2 linked regions of the Styela clava genome follow. The protein of the gene in region 1 interacts with the protein of each later gene in a biochemical or structural test. Links are inferred from orthologs where the notes say so. Each region holds a gene or a part of one and is shown in the gene's direction. Other genes may lie near its edges.

What was found. The genes of interacting proteins can lie anywhere in the genome.
Region 2: the proteins of uncharacterized protein LOC120333780 (region 1) and WD repeat-containing protein 82-like form a complex in vitro, tested with the Homo sapiens proteins (2 studies listed by BioGRID). The link is inferred for Styela clava from reciprocal best matches to the Homo sapiens genes SETD1A and WDR82.

Annotation. Positions count from the first base shown.
Region 1 is NC_135264.1:11,332,347-11,340,868, forward strand, and holds the start of uncharacterized protein LOC120333780, read left to right. Parts: upstream 1-4,966; 5' UTR 4,967-5,057; coding exon 5,058-5,204; intron 5,205-6,482; coding exon 6,483-6,584; intron 6,585-6,698; coding exon 6,699-6,869; intron 6,870-7,435; coding exon 7,436-7,535; intron 7,536-8,205; coding exon 8,206-8,383; intron 8,384-8,522. Other genes in the region: voltage-gated purine nucleotide uniporter SLC17A9-like, read right to left, coding at 1-3, 485-584, 1,122-1,270, 1,615-1,812, 2,199-2,314. UniProt on the Homo sapiens protein: Histone methyltransferase that catalyzes methyl group transfer from S-adenosyl-L-methionine to the epsilon-amino group of 'Lys-4' of histone H3 (H3K4) via a non-processive mechanism.
Region 2 is NC_135254.1:14,482,181-14,490,837, reverse strand, and holds WD repeat-containing protein 82-like, read left to right. Parts: upstream 1-5,485; 5' UTR 5,486-5,544; coding exon 5,545-6,489; 3' UTR 6,490-7,806; downstream 7,807-8,657. Other genes in the region: uncharacterized protein LOC120344988, read left to right, coding at 1-38, 220-362, 638-829, 1,405-1,566; protein ABHD18-like, read left to right, coding at 7,859-8,657. UniProt on the Homo sapiens protein: Regulatory component of the SET1/COMPASS complex implicated in the tethering of this complex to transcriptional start sites of active genes.

The DNA of each region.
Region 1 (8,522 bases):
GATCTGAAATATTTAAAAAAAACAGGATTTTGAATAATCCATCAACATTTTTCATAAACTAATTTCTCAAAGCAAAGGACATCTGCACTCACTCAAAAGCAAATGTATATGAGAGAAGTTACTTGACCATTGAGTGAGTGTCAAGACTCAAGAGCAACACAAATTATAAAGTATATAGGCCTATAACACAAATGGAAGCTCACAGTCAAACGAGTAAGACAGCTGAAAGTTTTTTTTGACAGTACATGTTCCAAAAGTGAAGAACAACAATATACATTTATAGTTATAATGTAAAATGAGCACAGTGATGTAATATCTCGTCAATGGGTGTGTAACACAACATTTCCTTAATGAGGAAATATTTTTCAGGTCAGACGCTAATTGATAGTCAAAAATATTTGATATCCGACTTGGAATTAGGTCAAGTGTATTTAATACAGTTACAGAACTGGCTCAAAAAACAAATATACTAGCAATTAACTACCCAAAATTTGATCCAGTGGAGGTCACACCCATTGCAAATGATCTATCCTTCTCACAAACGTTGCGGCTGACTAAACTTGTCATTGACGGATAATGCATACCTGCAAAACAGTAAACAGGGAAAATATAGATGAAGCTCAAGATATACAAAAATTAAAAAAATAATTTTCGATACTCCTGTAGTATGTGTACCAGGTTAGATTTGGGGCATAATTTTATTTCGATTTACCTCATTTTAGTTATGAGTTCGGGGACTATCTGTGTTAGCCAAGTGAACATACCCCTGCCCATAGGTGTCAGTCCTTTTACACGTAACTTGATGTAGAATAGGCGAACAAAATTACCTTCATATTGGTACACATACTTCGGAGCCTATCTTTACACCAACTCTATAATGAAGCATAATTATGATTGAGCCTTTTCAATAAACCAGAGTTACATTAATTAAGATAACAAACTGCACTAAAATGAGTTTGAACTCTTGTGGTTTTCCAAACTATGTCCCTGGCTGATATTCAAAAAAGACTATATTATAAAGTTAAGAAAATTTTTAAAGTGATCATATTATAAAATTTGTTGAATCTGTATTTTGAATAAATTACAATCAAAATAAAAGCCATATATTTTCTTTATCATACCTTGGAATAATCCAAGTATAACTCGAAACAATCCAAGTAACAGCAACGTAACTGTATGATCATCATATAAATAGGCAATATATGGAGTTATAAATGTCACCGTACCCCATGTAAGAGCAGCAATACATAGCATTCGATCACCACCTATACTGAAATATAGTATTCATTAGGTAAGAGAATTGATTTCATATTTACATGCTGTATTTTAAGAAGGTATGATACGAGTTTAGGAAGTGCGTTACTGCACACAATTGAAAGAAAATCACACAATCGAATATTAAACATAAATAGCTATGACTGTCAGTTAGTACAATTGGACATACATCTCACCAAAATTAAATTACAACATATAAGCAGAGAACATAAATTTCAATTATACTGAAGATAACAAATATAAATACGCTAATCACAAAGTAATTTTATGTGTAACATGAAGTCTCCTGATGAAGCCTGAATAAGAAAATACGCAGATATAGACATTCCAGTGACTCACCGATCAGCCATGTATCCACCAAATATTTGGGTCATTGCATAACCCCAAAAGAAGCATCCCATCACAGTACCGAGATGCTCTTTGTTCCAACCGAACTCTTTCGCCATTGCAGGAGCACACACTGGCATAGCAACGCGAGATGAAAATAGGATAGTTGTGCCAATAAATAATGTCGCAATCCATGTTTTCTCTTCTGATCTGTTAAGAAAGAACAAGCTGGATATCACTAGATACAGAGATATCACAGGCAAAATGAACGAAGATATTTTATATTTACAGCTAGACGACCATGAAATGCTACAACAACATGCCAAATACCCAATTGTTCAAATATATTAGAAATCACTTTGAAAGGATAAATGACCTCTTAATTTGCTCATCAAATAATACAAGTATAAGTTTTATTCAGATTCCAAGGCAAGCATAACATGGCACTGTACGGTACTGCTGTAGCAAGTAAACAATGAAAAATTGATAACCACTAATACAAGAACAGAAAAATATAATTATGGAATTGCTGTCAATCAGCAGTTAATCTGAAATCTCCGAAAATTTATTGAAAAAACAAAAGTTCGTTAACTAACTTGCTCCAATTTGATCCTTTTTGTTTTTTCACGATTCTGTCTATTCCTCCTGCATCTCGCGGAGAATGCAATCTTAATGACTTTGAATCCAAGTTTATGACATGATTTCCTACCATACCGGTAATACTGCAGTGCCGCGATGATCAATAACTATTGGTAATGACAACTTCTGATTCCGTGTTGTTATAGCTTTTTATCTATATACACAACTGCAAATTTCGGTGGCGCTTTCACCCTTCTCAGCGAACTATAAATTAGAAATATATGTTACCGAATATAGACGTGGCGTAAACAAGACACGGACGACTTTCTTCTTTATCCGGGTTAGGTTTACTTCGTAGTGGAGAAAATCAACAAATGAGCAACCAAAACTTCCATTGTATGTACGATTTTCAATACAAATATATAATACCATAATAATACATCAATCGATCAATTTTATTCCACATCTATCATTTCTTTGTTTTTGTCTATATTAAGCCAAATATGTAGAAATATGATAAAAGCATCAACGCGATTTTGCCTCCGAATGTTCTACCATTCGTGATATTATGTGACTGAATATACTGTATATGGCAACGCGATTTTGCCTCCGAATGTTCTACCATTCGTGATATTATGTGACTGAATATACTGTATATGGCAATTAGTATGTTTGAATTTCACAATCAGCATAAGAGGCGATGAAATTCCAACACCATCTGACAACAAGTGTCCAAAAGTATTCAGTGTCCAAAAAAATCACACATCAATACAGTTTGAATGTACCGGACATAGATCACAGTACACAATCACAACCAAGCTTTTTAGTCAGGCACTGCGAAGGCAAACAAACATTTTAGAAATCTTGGTTACGATATTTCCGCATAGCACATTTGACGTATGCCGCTAAGCCGTAATTAAACGTATTTATTTCACCTCCAAGCGAAAATAAAATTGCAGTAGCTACCATTTTTACAACCCTACAAGTTGTTTGAAAAAATAACAACATCGTCATTTTCATTTTTCAAACATGGAGAACAATCTGGGCTGATAGTTTATAGTAGTGGTATCGTGATGAAAGGTCGTTATTTGCCACATAATTAATTTTCGTTAGGTTCCCTCTTTTTGGATCTATCGGTCTATCTATCGGCCTATCTCAATCAGATATAATAGAATTTTTTAATTTTATTCCTATCCTACTAAATTTCATTCTCGTTCACGTCACAAGATGGTGGCAGTGAGCTAATGGCGGCTCGGTGAAAACTATGGCTTTGTTGATGGCTGTACCACTTGTTCTGAAGATAAAAATGGCCAAGGTAAGGTAAGTAATATCCTCCAGTTCCTAGTGTGAGTCAAAGAGGCATGAGTAGATTGGCTCTGAGACAGGCCCAGGCTATAAGTTTGTGGCAAAACCGCCGTTGCAGCGGTAAAATGTAGGCGGCTTTTTGTCTCAAAATTCTAGGCTGCGCTTCATCGAGTTGTACAAAGACAAGGTATGACACTGTGACTCTTTGATATTGCAATGGACCAGAAAATAGACTGGTGCCACTGAATAATGTAGATTAGTTTTGTGGTTACAAATTCATCTATTCTTCAGTTCTTCTAGCTCTGTAGTTACTAATTAATTTATAGGATATGATTTACATATTTATTATTTCTGTATTTCTGATATACCTGTATTTATTATACCATCAGGACGAAATTTTGGTCAGTTACACATCAACTTTTGTTGAAAATAGTTTAATTAACCTTACCAAACAGCCAAAGTATCTGATCCATTTGCTCATATCAGTATATTGTACCAAACGCACTTTCTCACCAGTGTGATTGTTTTGTTTGTTTTGATTCTTTAGTTCTGAATTTAAATCTTTAGTGTTAACAACACTAATTTTTCTCTAAGGAAACTTGTTCGAAGCAAGGTCACACGCATTAACTCAGACGCGGTCGACAACTAAAATATCAAGAGCTAGCTACAGTAGGGCACAGTTGTCTGATTCCAGGATTCAAGGATGTGCCGGCATTGAGTTCAATGCAACAAACACTTATTTTGTCTCTGAAACAAGGGCATATGACACGACAGCAGATGCGTCATGCTTGTCTCAATGGTAATCTGAAATAATTGTGACGTGCGTTGGCCGTCATGTGACCAAAATTGCATTTTTTTACTAAAACTTCGTGAATGCTACGAAAAAAAATCTTTTTCTTTGGTAAATCAATTTTTTTTATTTTCCAAGGAATCCATAGTGGCGTTTTTAAATTGCGCTATTAATTTGTTGACAGGGCTGATTTGCAGATTTTTGCCAGTATGGAGGTCCAGACTATCTCGTAAAACAGGGGTTTGCAGTCCCTGTTTTAATTATTTTTAGAGTGAAAATGACTATTCTACTCAATTCAAGAGTCTTGCTGCACACTAACACAAATGTACGAGGTTAAACTTCTTCAGACAAGCATTTTACAACTGTGAAAAGAAACGCAATTGCATGCACATAAAGAAGAAGTCTGACCTCGGTCAGACGAAACCTTACAGAAATACATTTGTGTTAGTGTGCAGCAAGACTCTTGAATTGAATAGAATAGTCATTTTCACTCTTGCTATAGCGTTATACGCATCTGGGTCCACCTGCGCAAAGGCATAGAGCAAGGAAAGGTAGTTAGTTTCACGTAACTCCAACTGTTAGTACTGTTATAATTGATGTCTTCTAATGTGGGGCTACAGAGCTATGGAGAGTATAAAGATTTATAGTGCAGACTTGCACGTTGCTTGTTAACAATTCAACACTGATTTTTTATATTTCTTTTGTTAAAGTCAATAATTATCTATAGTGTAGAAAAATGGATTCACCAGTCTATCAAGTCCTTTGATAAAGGATTAATATTATGTCTGATGTGAAGAAAGAAAACCATATCCAAGGAGTAGGTGCTGAACAAATTAAGAAAAAAGATTATAAATTATTGGTCGACCCTCAAATAAGAAGAGGTGAAGAAAAACTCTTTAGATATGAGGGAGTTGCTTATAATACAGAAGTGAGTGTTTCAATCAGTAATTTTATTCATGACACTATATTTATTACTGATTTTATTTATTTATATTGAACTGAATTTATTCTGGCTTGGTCTATTTTCAGTATTTGGATTTTTTCAGATGGGTAGCATGTATACTACAGCAGGGCACAGTTCCCTGATTCCTGACATTTGGTTCAATAATACAAACACCATATTTGTCACTGAAATGACGGTACCTGGCATGCCGGCACATGCGCCACATGCACACCATGCTATTCTTAGAATCAGAGAACTGTGCTGTACTGCACCAAAACTAAATCTATGTATGGTTTCAGTAGCTCGTGTCATTTCAGTGGCTGCCTTGCAAGTACGCTTGCTGATGAAAATCTTCTTCACCTATGCAAAATTACCACTCTGATTTGAGCAAAATCTATTAATAATAATAAAATGCTTCTGCTGTTGATAGTGATATCGTTGATTCTTAGATGAAGTTATATCTTGATTGTACATAAACAAACAAAAATTCTGTTTGCATAACTTGCAATCCAATGTTATGCTGGCAGCTGGAAGTATATATATATAAATATTTATGGACTATATCATATGCATGACATGTGTTTCTATCGCAGATGAACATGTATGGATTTGTTGATAATAATGATGCTTATTAGCAGCTGGATAATGACCCTCTTTGAATAATTTCTAGTCATTATCTTGTGTATTGCATATTTAAATGTGATTATCTGTGAGTACTGCAATTATGCGCTACAGCCTACGAATATAATTTGCGTATTAGATATTCTTATTAACATGACTGCAATACTCAAATATATGAAGTCTAATGTCCAATTTATCCACCACAATGGCAGTAATTTTTTTTTTAAATGTTAAAAGAATCATATTAAATATTATATGAAGATGTAATCGTGAATTTGAAAAATAAAAAAATTGGGCCTAATAATAAGTGATAAAAATAAGTGATTTTTCGTAATTCCTAACAATCCTATATTTTGTTAATTTCTATCTATCTGTACTGTTATATATACTTGTAAGGATTGATAGTTTCAACATCATTATTGAATATGGGAGACTGTTTTTGTTACTAAAACCACTAGTTTATGGAGTGGTTTGAAGGTTGTTTTTTCATGTACTGTGCATTTTACCCACATATTTTAATAATATCGGTAACTAGATAAGTTAATGGGATTTTAATTCTTCCTAAAAAGGGGTGTTTTGTAGGTGTGAAACCATCTTTATTGAAAGATCTTTTTTTTAAATTTTATTTTTTTTTTCACTTAGAACCATGGACAGGGTGTTGTTGTGTTACGAGATCCACGACCCAGGATGAATCGATTATGGTCAAGAAGAGAGCGATGTGAGTTACCTGTTCCACGATATAAGGTGATTACTGATTGTAATAATAATTGTAGCCATTTGTTGTCCACATTTGAATTGCTTATGGCTTATGATAAAACAATGTAAAACTATTTATAACGATTTACAACATTTTGGCAGGTTGACGAGTGGTACATTGGCGCTGTTCCTCCTCGTGAGGTCACTTTTTCTCGTCTTAATGATAACATCACAAAACAATTCATGGAAAAGATGTGCATCAAGTTTGGAAAACTGGAACGCGTGAGGGTTTACCATCACCCAAAGACACAAAAGCACATGGGTTTATCTAAGGTGTGTTACTGATTTTATACACTTGCAATCTTTGCAAGATATGTTCAACTATGATGGTGTAACTGAACTGTTATTTAAATAGACTATTATTCTGTAACAATGAAAAATGCTTAATAGGCTTAAACTTGATATGGTAACTGTACTGCTTTCGCATCTAACAATGTTGTCACTTAATCTCGTGTATAGTCCATCTGGTTTGGTACAGTCTACCTAACTGATTAATGGATGACCAGTCTTAAACTAATATTTCTTTCCAACCTAAAGATGCTAACATAGTTATATCAATATTCAAACTACATGAATGAACATCGTATTTAATTTAAATTATATTTCCTGAAAAAAATATAGGGTGTCCATGAAGTCTTAGAAATTTTTTAAAATTGCATAGGGAATTTATGGATATCATGGGCCGTATTGTTTTGGCCCTCACAGATGTATTGAATGAAGTAAAAATACCTGATTAAAACATGGTTAATAAGATATATTGAGAACTGACTTAATAACAAAAGCAAAACTGTAAAGGGGTTTATGAGCATCCTGTTTAATCTCGTTGTTCACTTTCACAGGTTGTGTTTTCATCGATCAAGTCCGCATCTGAATGTGTGAAGAAACTCCACCAGACTTCAGTCATGGGAAATGTGATTCATGCACAAATAGACTGTAAAGGTTGGTTGAGTGAATCCTATTCACTAATCATTCTAACCCTGGCGCTGCTCATATGTAGTTGTCTGTTTCACTTAAGGCGCTCGTACTTAATCTTTGTTGTTTATCTTATACGAATAAGAGAATGTCTATATGTAGTAGGCTATATGTTATTTAATTACTTTCAAAATAAAGTTTGGATTGAATAATCTTCAATGTATTTAGGATAAAATGTTTTTGCTGCACTTTTACAAATTTTTAGGCAAGATTGAATACTTGCAAATTTAACTAGAGCTGTAAAGTGTGGAAGAAATTTCCACCAACGACTTCCAACGTCTGGATGAAAACAGGTTTAAGAAAATTTTGACCTAAGTACGAGAAAACCAAATGACTATAAAAATTATCCAATCCTACTGTATGGTTTATGAGTATTCTTAGTTGATTTAAATATTAGATATTTAGATATTAGGTATATTAAATATTTAGTTTTTGTCAAAAAATTACCCTCATTACAGTCTTGAAATTCTAACTTGATTTTGAAGATCTCAAATTTGTTTTTGGCTCATATGGTTGAATTTGGTGGTTTCATAATACGACTCCAACTCCTTCCGTATTCCTAATTCCTATTCCAAACAAATTATTTTTGTCACCCAATTCAGGTTAGTTTTACTATTTTCTTGTATCTCATACACAGGTGAAATTCTGAACAAGCTCTTCCAACGGATAGTGAGAGGTGAGATGATGGCAGAAACAATACCCGATGTAATTCGACATACGCAGGATGGCATTACTATGTCAATTAAATATAAAGAACAACATCATCATCATCACGGTAAAAAAGAAAGGAGAAAATCATCGCAAGATGATCCCAGGTTTGTTTATGTTTGGTGCGAGGAAAAAGTTTTTACTCGGATTTAATTACTTTTCATGGTTTGTTCCGAATGAGGCTCTGCACAGGAAGACCCTTGGACGTAGGTAGTTATTTGACTGCTTGGTTATCCTTGAAATTTA
Region 2 (8,657 bases), on another chromosome or scaffold:
CCTTTTCAATCCTGAAAAACTTGAACCAGTTGAAGCAGGTAACAATATTTATAAAGATTATATATTTAAACAAGAAGTGCTGCTATCATTTTATTATGCTTTATTTAAAATAGGTTATCAATATTCCAAATTTATAAGCTGTCAAATTGCCTTTTGTAATTGCTTGAATTAATTTGTATATTTTAAAAAATTCATACTATTCCTTTGTTTCTATTTCAGATTTGAAGAGCCCGGCTTATCTTCATTATTTACTCCAACTAAGGGAGACTTCTCAGTTCTCTGAACTTGGAGTGAAATTAATGAAAGGAGGAATGGACAAAATCTTCGATACATGGATGTTACAAGAGAGCGATCTTGTGCAGGTACTAAGTTTGTTTACTGTATTTTTTAGACTGTAAAAGATAATTGAATGACTATTTTCCTATCCTCACCGTCGTAGGGTGGTTCATGTAGCCGCTGGTCGGTTGCGCCTTCCTCCAACATCAAGCTCATGCATCTGGAAACAAAATATCTGGCTAACTAATCCCATACGAGTGGTAACCGGACAAGAGGCGGTGGTTCGCCATATGATTAAGTTGCGCTCTGCTTTTGAATATTTTACTCAAATGATTACTTATTGAATCTGTTTTTCATCCAGAATGCTGCAAGATCTTATGGAGAAAGGTTGATTAGCGAAAGGGTGAAGTTTACAATTGATTCTCCAGATACTCATTCATCACTCAAAACCATCTTATCAAAATTATATCACTTATTTTTGATTGATACTATTCAACGTGATCTTGGATGGTTTGCGGCAAATGAGGTCATCACGCCTTCAATAGCAAAGCAGGTAAAGTATCTTATATCGTACTTTCAACCATCTTTTAAAAGTGGGCTATTTCAGATAAACAACTCTGACTACATTCGGACCTGCAAAATCTTTAAGGTTCGAGTAACAAATTAAAAAGATGACTTTTTTTTACTTATCATAACTATGCATGGAAACAATTGAATTGCGTAATTATACCATACCTGACATGGTGACAGCAGGCTTGGCGGTGTGGCGTGTCGTGCTAAACATTAGGAATATGCTTCACATTGCACCTCTGATCATCCTGCGGTGGTTTCTGGACTCCTCACCGCCATAGGGTGGTTCATATAACCTGTGATCGGTTACGGCTTCCTCCACCATCAAGTTCATGTATCTCAAACAAATAAATGGCTAACTAATCCCATACCAGACATGGTCTGGTAATAGGGAGTCCGTGCTTCAGCATATGATTAAGCAATTTTATCAGTTTTCATATCCTCTGAGATAATATGTATTTCCTATCCTATCACTCATGTGTTTGACATACTTAAAACATTAGGGATTGCAGAATTAAATGGTTATAATATACGGTAAAATTAACTTTCTATACTCAGGTAAATGAAGTTGCAGCTGAAGCATGTCGAGATCTTGCACCTGATGCTCTTCATCTCTGTTCATCATTCAAATTAAGTGATGAAATGCTTTCTGCCCCAATCGCACAAGACTGGGTGGAATACAATGTGGGTGACAATCAGGGGGAATTGTCGAAGCTGTAATAAAGTTTCCCAAATTTATTGTATGGAGACCAACACATTTAATTTATATATCAAGTTGGATATCGATAACTGTATTATCTCATAGACCCAAGAGTTTCATATCAAGACCAGGATTAACCTCAGCTGATATACTGTAATTACTGTTACATCGAATAATTTATTTTCATTTTGCATTCTCAAAAGATTAAAATGTGGCGTGTTAGTGGAGATAATCCATACCTATTTACTTTCAGTACCCAACCTTAGTTCCCGCCTCTATGGGTTATATATTTCCGATATTTTTCGAGTGTGAATATGGTATAGTTTTCTATTTGGAATTCAGTGAAAATGCAATAGATCTAGTCAAGAGTTTCACCGTTTAATATTTGTTTATATTGTTTGATTGATTTAAATATATTAATTTTGCCTAATAGTGTGAGATGCTCACAAGTTGATGTTGGTGCCTCAGCTAGTAAAAGGTTGTGAGATTGAAAGGAAATAAAGCTGCAGCTTCGCACAGCTTTTTCACTCGGAAATATTGGTCGTCGCAATTGTTTTAATGGTAAACGCCTGATTGTATCGCTAAAAGATGGGAATTGACAAGAATAGTATTTTCTTGTGATAATCTTCTGCTGGGACCATTCCTGTCAAAATATGAATTGCAGTAATTTGATGGATCTTGATTTTTTCAATAAGAATATTTAATATCATCTATGTTAGATCTAAATGAAGAAGGTATAGCGGGGGGCTGTAATTGCACAGAAAATCTTCGGCGAAATATCGGTGCACCTCTAAATAAACTGGATTGAGCACCGCCATAAATTTACAATGCATAATAATGTATGCGGATGGGAAAACCCTACATTCCTTCGCATTTGTGGTGTGGTTGTCATGGAATAAAACGAACAAGATTATGCATATGTCTTGTTGCGGCAAATCGTTCGAACAACAGGGCATCGTCTATAATGGCACCAGTACCGTATATGCGGCATCGATACGTTTGGCCAATGAGCATATGTATATGTATATATGCTCATAGGTTTGGCAAATCACCAATCATGTTGCACGCGTGTCAATCATCTGAAAAAGACACGTCATATTTTTATTTAAATTTCTGGATATACAAGTAAATTTTGCTATAGAACACTAATATCAGAACTCTGGCTTCACGATGAACAAATGATGTATTTCCCCCGCACTCATTGAAATATCACGAGTGCGTATAGTTATTCATGAACGCACGCAAAGTAAAAAAATAACTCATAAATTGGTAAATCCTGTTACGGATTAATGAAACAGTTGAATTTAGTCAAATATCAATCTTTGAATTATTTTAGAATGCAAACACTGTGTGTAGGCGTACAAACAGCATCACGCCACTTATCATGAATTCAAAATGCATAATATGCTAATAAGTATCACGTGCGTGTCGCGTCTCGCAGGCGTTTGCGTCGGCATGGCTGGCATGCATTATGGTTTTGCTTCCTGGTGAAGATATTTTAGGATAATGTATTTTAATGTAGAGTACAGTAGTGTTTGGTAAACTTTTATGTTCAATACTCCGTGAGCGAGTTAGTTATAGTGTGTCATGTTTTGAACTCGAATTATTCATAAGGCTGTGAGGGTCGCAAAGGAACCAAAAATACCCCAGCCCACACTCGAGACGCTATCCCACACTCGTTTTTGACAGGCCATACTAGGGGTAACTGGGCCGGGCTTGGTATTGCATTTGCGTTGTGTATATCACATATGGTCTCTATATTGTCATAGCCACCAAGTTTTTTTGTATTAACGTTTATAAAGTGGTAAAATAGTTGGTTAACCCCTTGACGTCAGGCTGAGCGAGTGTGGGCTGGGGTAACTTTGGTGCAAAGGATGTTCAATTACAGCGGTAGCGAATGTAGGAATGAGAAATCTTGTGGCAGTTTCAACATAATATTCATATATTACATAAGTTTTCTGGTGAACCGATATAAAGTATATTTTCATGCCATCGTTGCTGTAGCCTGTAGCCCACACTTCCATTTTTGGTTGAGTCAGGCTGGATCAGTCAGGTGAGTTGAGTCACTCTGACACTGTACCTCATGCAGTCATGACATGCTGAAATGACGTTGATTGTGTGCATTGACTTTGGTGGTAAATACTAGATGAGTGAACACCGACCACTTTTAGGCAACAGATTGTTTATTTGAATTATGTAGCCTACCTTTTAAACCTCGCTCAAGGTTTTGTTTGCTCTACTGATTTTGTAATCAGTTTTTTTTTTTGCATGTTTTTATTAATTTAAGGTCTGTGATGCTGGTTATGGCAGTATGGAGTCTCAATAAAATTATACTTACAATGTTATTAGCCTCTCAACTACCGTACATAAATTAGTAATGCCGGAAATCCCACCATAAATATATATGTATGATTAACATTTGACTCTCTAACAGTAGGGCGCAGTTCTCTGATGTCCCAACATTTGGTTCAAATACACAAACTCACATATCAATGATCACCAATCAAATTTAGCACAATCTTGAAGTAAAAGAAAAAAATCAGTCTTCATAGAATATTTTAAGATTGACATGAATTGTATTGAACAACTCAATAGCTCAATGCTATCATTAAATAGTTTTAACAAATGCTCTTATAAACTATAATATTCTTAGATATGTTAAAAATGTGTTTTTTTTGCTCCTCCTCAAAACCTCAATTTGGATGATTTATTTAAAAAAAACTCATAGGGTCTCCCTAAAACCAGGCAATTTATAGGCAACGTTTCAAGTAATTTGATTATCTATTAATTTTACTATTTCATATCGATTTGAGTTCCATTTCATTTGCATTTTCATATTGCTGTATTGCAAGGAACAATAATATAAGTCGATCATTTTATCCAATACATTTAGAAATATTTTACTCTCAGTGGTAAAATACGGCATCCTTAGTATAAACTGATAAAATCTTGAAATTTCAGACATTTAAAAAAAAATATTCTGATTTTTTAGTCATAGAGAGTTGCCATATTTTTTCATAAATAATTTTTCCTAACACAAAGAGATATAGGCCTACAGTTTGTAAATTTATTGTTCATCTTCAGTTGTTTTTTTGCTTATTTAATATAATTGGGTGGCAACTGACTCTGATGACCCCCAAAGGTCAGATTGTTGCCCTCCAGTCATATACCGAAAACTATTTTTTTGGTATTTGTTTATGTGTGCATAAATTGTTTTCTTGGTTTGACAAAATGAAATAAACTCTCTCTCTCTTTTGAATCCACCCGAAATTGGCATATTGTCTGGTAAAATGTGGCAACTCTCAGCACAAAATCAACTTTGTATAGCAGAATATTTGTCTATATTATTTTGCATATTCTCTGCTTCTGAAAATTAGTAGGATAGTGATCAAAGTGCAATGTTGGTTATATGGTCAATTCTAATTACTTAGAGATTTATATCCTAAACTTATTGGTATTAGACTCCACTCTAGCTGTTCATTGCCAGTTTAATCATAAAATCACTAATCAAATATCAGTGATTAATATTTTCTCTGTTGCATTTTAAACAATTATGATAAAATTTGACCCTCATTCCCTTGTTACCCTGAGTTGTAATTACCCCTTAGCAATGCAGTAAATAAAATGTAAACACACCTTGTGACATGCAGTAAACTAGAGTGTGAACGAACACATAACATTTGTCATTCTCCCAGGGACTCAGGGTAACGAACGAAATAATGTTTTCTAAAATATGACCGTGAAATTTACCTCCTTTTATATAACTAGTATAGGCATTATAAAGAAGTTCATGCCATCTTAATTCATATGGTGTGATCTTGTAAAATTAGACTTGTAATTAGACACTTAAACTTGTAAATTTTCATTGTTTACATCAGCCATGCCATCTGGTTAGTTATTCTGTATTCCTATACCCCATTTAGTTCATGTTATGATGGAACTATTGTATCATTTTATTTTTAGTTGATAACTTTCAGTTGGAATATAAAAATATTATAATGAAGCTACTGGATTCTGTAGTAAAAAGTTTTCGAGTTGCCAAAGTTTTTCGTGAAAATAATGAAAAAATAAACAGCGTCGATTTTGCACCAAATGGTGAAAATTTGATATCAGCTAGCGATGACGATTCGATTGTAATTTATGATTGCTGTACAGAAGGAAAACCAAAGAGAACATTGTACAGTAAAAAATATGGTGTCGATCACATAAACTACACTCACGCTGGAAACACTGTAATTTATGCTTCAAACAAAGTTGATGACGCAATTCGATATCAATCATTACATGATAATAAGTATCTTCGTTATTTCACTGGACACACAAAAAGAGTAGTGACCTTAAGTATGTCCCCTGTGGATGACACATTCTTATCTGGATCATTGGACAAGACAATACGTTTATGGGACTTGAGATCTCCAAATTGCCAGGGTTTAATGCATCTCCCTGGCCGACCATGCGCTTCTTTCGATCCAGAGGGTTTGATTTTTGCAGCTGGAATAAATTCTGAAATGATTAAATTATATGATTTGAGATCATTTGATAAAGGTCCATTTACAACGTTTCGACTGACTCCTGATAAAGACTGTGACTGGACAAGATTAAAATTCAGCTCCGATGGAAAAATGATCCTAATTTCAACCAATGGTTCAACATTACGATTGATTGATGCTTTTCATGGCGAGCCACTCCAAACTTTTATGGGTCATATTAACACTAAAGGTTTATATTTAGAGGCCAGTTTCAGCCCAGATGCACAGTATATTCTATCTGGATCACAAGATGGTCGAATCCATGTTTGGAGTACTGAAGACGGAAGCAAGACGGCTGTTTTAGATGGAAAACATCCAGGCCCACTTCAGTGCGTACAATTTAATCCGAGATATATGATGATTGCGTCAACATGCTCTAACATGGCATTTTGGTTGCCTACTGTAGAAGAATAAAGATGATTCATTGACATAAAGGCATTGATAAGCCTTTTGTACTCCATACTGCCAAATGCGGATGAAAGCCGTAACGCCATGAGCACTTAGTTTGTTATTGTTGATAAAAACATTTTGAGTAAAGACAAAAAAACTTTTAGCTCCACGTTGGGTTCAGTACTTTAATTATTGGGTTTGACACTTTTATTGCTGTCGACTGTCACTGTTCATTTTTACTGAAAGCTGTCATGATTATTTAGATTTCATTTTTAGGTCAGCTTCCTATAAGCTTAGTGAAATCGAGACACTTTCACCTCAATGACTAAAGAACTCTGTTCCCACAGTTTTCCGTCTATGACTTGTTTTACAGTAAATTACGGCTGGAGTAGCTGAGTGAGTGACTGCTTTTATATGAGAGAGTCCTCAAAATATTAGTCTAGGCTGGAATGTCTCAGTTTATTGTTCAATTTGCTAGTATAATAACAGTTGAAAGATAGTTCATACTTTTTTGCTAAAATGTGAATCATATCACTTTACACTAACAAGTTTTGGCCTTAGTGAAACTAGGGAAAAAATGTCTCTCCCCCACTTCCAAGTATGATATTAGCCCAACCACCCCCCACTAGTCAAGTACGTAACAGGCTGAAATTCAAGGATAGCTAAAGTTATATAAATTATTCTGAAACAATATTTTGGATATAAATTTCGAATGTGTCTAAATTGTGTCTTGTTCATCGACGACTTCACTCAAATTTGTTAATACAGGATAGTTGGAATAAACATTACTGGGATTTATTCTTAATAAAAGTTAACTGAAGTCTATTTTTGTCTGACTATTGGATGTCAAATGTTTTAAATGATAGATGAAAATAATCCCCAAATCAATACTTAACTAATTTAAATGTATCCAATTTTAAATGTTTTTGATTCATCTTGGAAATCCCTGGACCTGATAAACTTATCCTAACTAGAGGATGCCCATGTTTATCCTTCTTTTAATATGGTTTGTGCAAGAAATGCTACAAGAACTACATGCTCTCTTTTGGATTATGCTAAAAATGTTTCATGATTTATTGGTGAACTGCTACAACTGAATATGCATGCTTTTATTCTGGAATTAAAATTGACTGGATTTTGAGCTCTTGGAAGTGTTTTACCTGTAATTCAGATTTGAACTTGCATTTTTTGTTGTGGACAGGCTTTATGCTTATGACCTTGGTGTTGATTGGAAAATCTTTTTTGCATATGAAGTCTTTCGTGCAAGTGATTTTTGTAGGGTGTAAAATTGTAAGTTGTGTTGCTGCAATTTCTTTTTACAATAAATTTTTTGCAGAATAATGACATAATATAAAGTATTTGATTAAAAGTGTGAGGGCCGAGGAGTGGCAAAATGAATTTAAGCAAGTTGGATTTATTCTACCGAAGGCTCATCTTAACAAAATTCTATACCAGAGGATGGGGTAAACCAGAAGAACTGCAGGAAATATTGAAGGTCCATGGTGTGATTTCCAACAGGGATTCATGTTTGGATTATGTTAATGATCACATATCTGAATCTAATGTGACCTTGGAAAATCCAGTCTCAAGCAATGGGTGCGTGACTGTCGATGGTAGTTTCGTTTCTCCAGTCTGTAAACTTTTACCCAAACTGCTACCAGAAGAGTGTAAGACGTCACACTTCCAAATGGTGTTACCTGCAACTCCAAGGAAATCCAAACCAGATAGTATTACTTCTTTGAAAAGAAGAATAAAACAACTTGACTTAAATCCGCTGTGCATTCATATGGCTGGAACGGGCGACCATGGGTTTTCTAGAAGACGAGAACTCATCGCTAAGCCGTTATTGTCGCATGGAATTTCTTCTTTATTGTTGGAAAATCCGTACTATGGTTTACGAAAACCAAAAGATCAATCTCGTTCCGGTTTGCTACATGTCAAAGACCTATTTTTAATGGGTCTATGCCTTATTTTAGAAACTCAAGTTCTGCTAAAATGGCTTGAAAAAGAAGGTTTTGGGCCGTTCGGTCTTACTGGTATATCAATGGGTGGACATATGGCTTCATTAGCAGCCACAACTTCACCTAAACCAGTCGCTGTTGTACCTTGCATGTCTTGGACTTCTTCTTCTGTAGTTTGGACAGAAGGGGTTCTTAGTAACGCCATACCATGGAGGGTGTTGGAATCTCAAT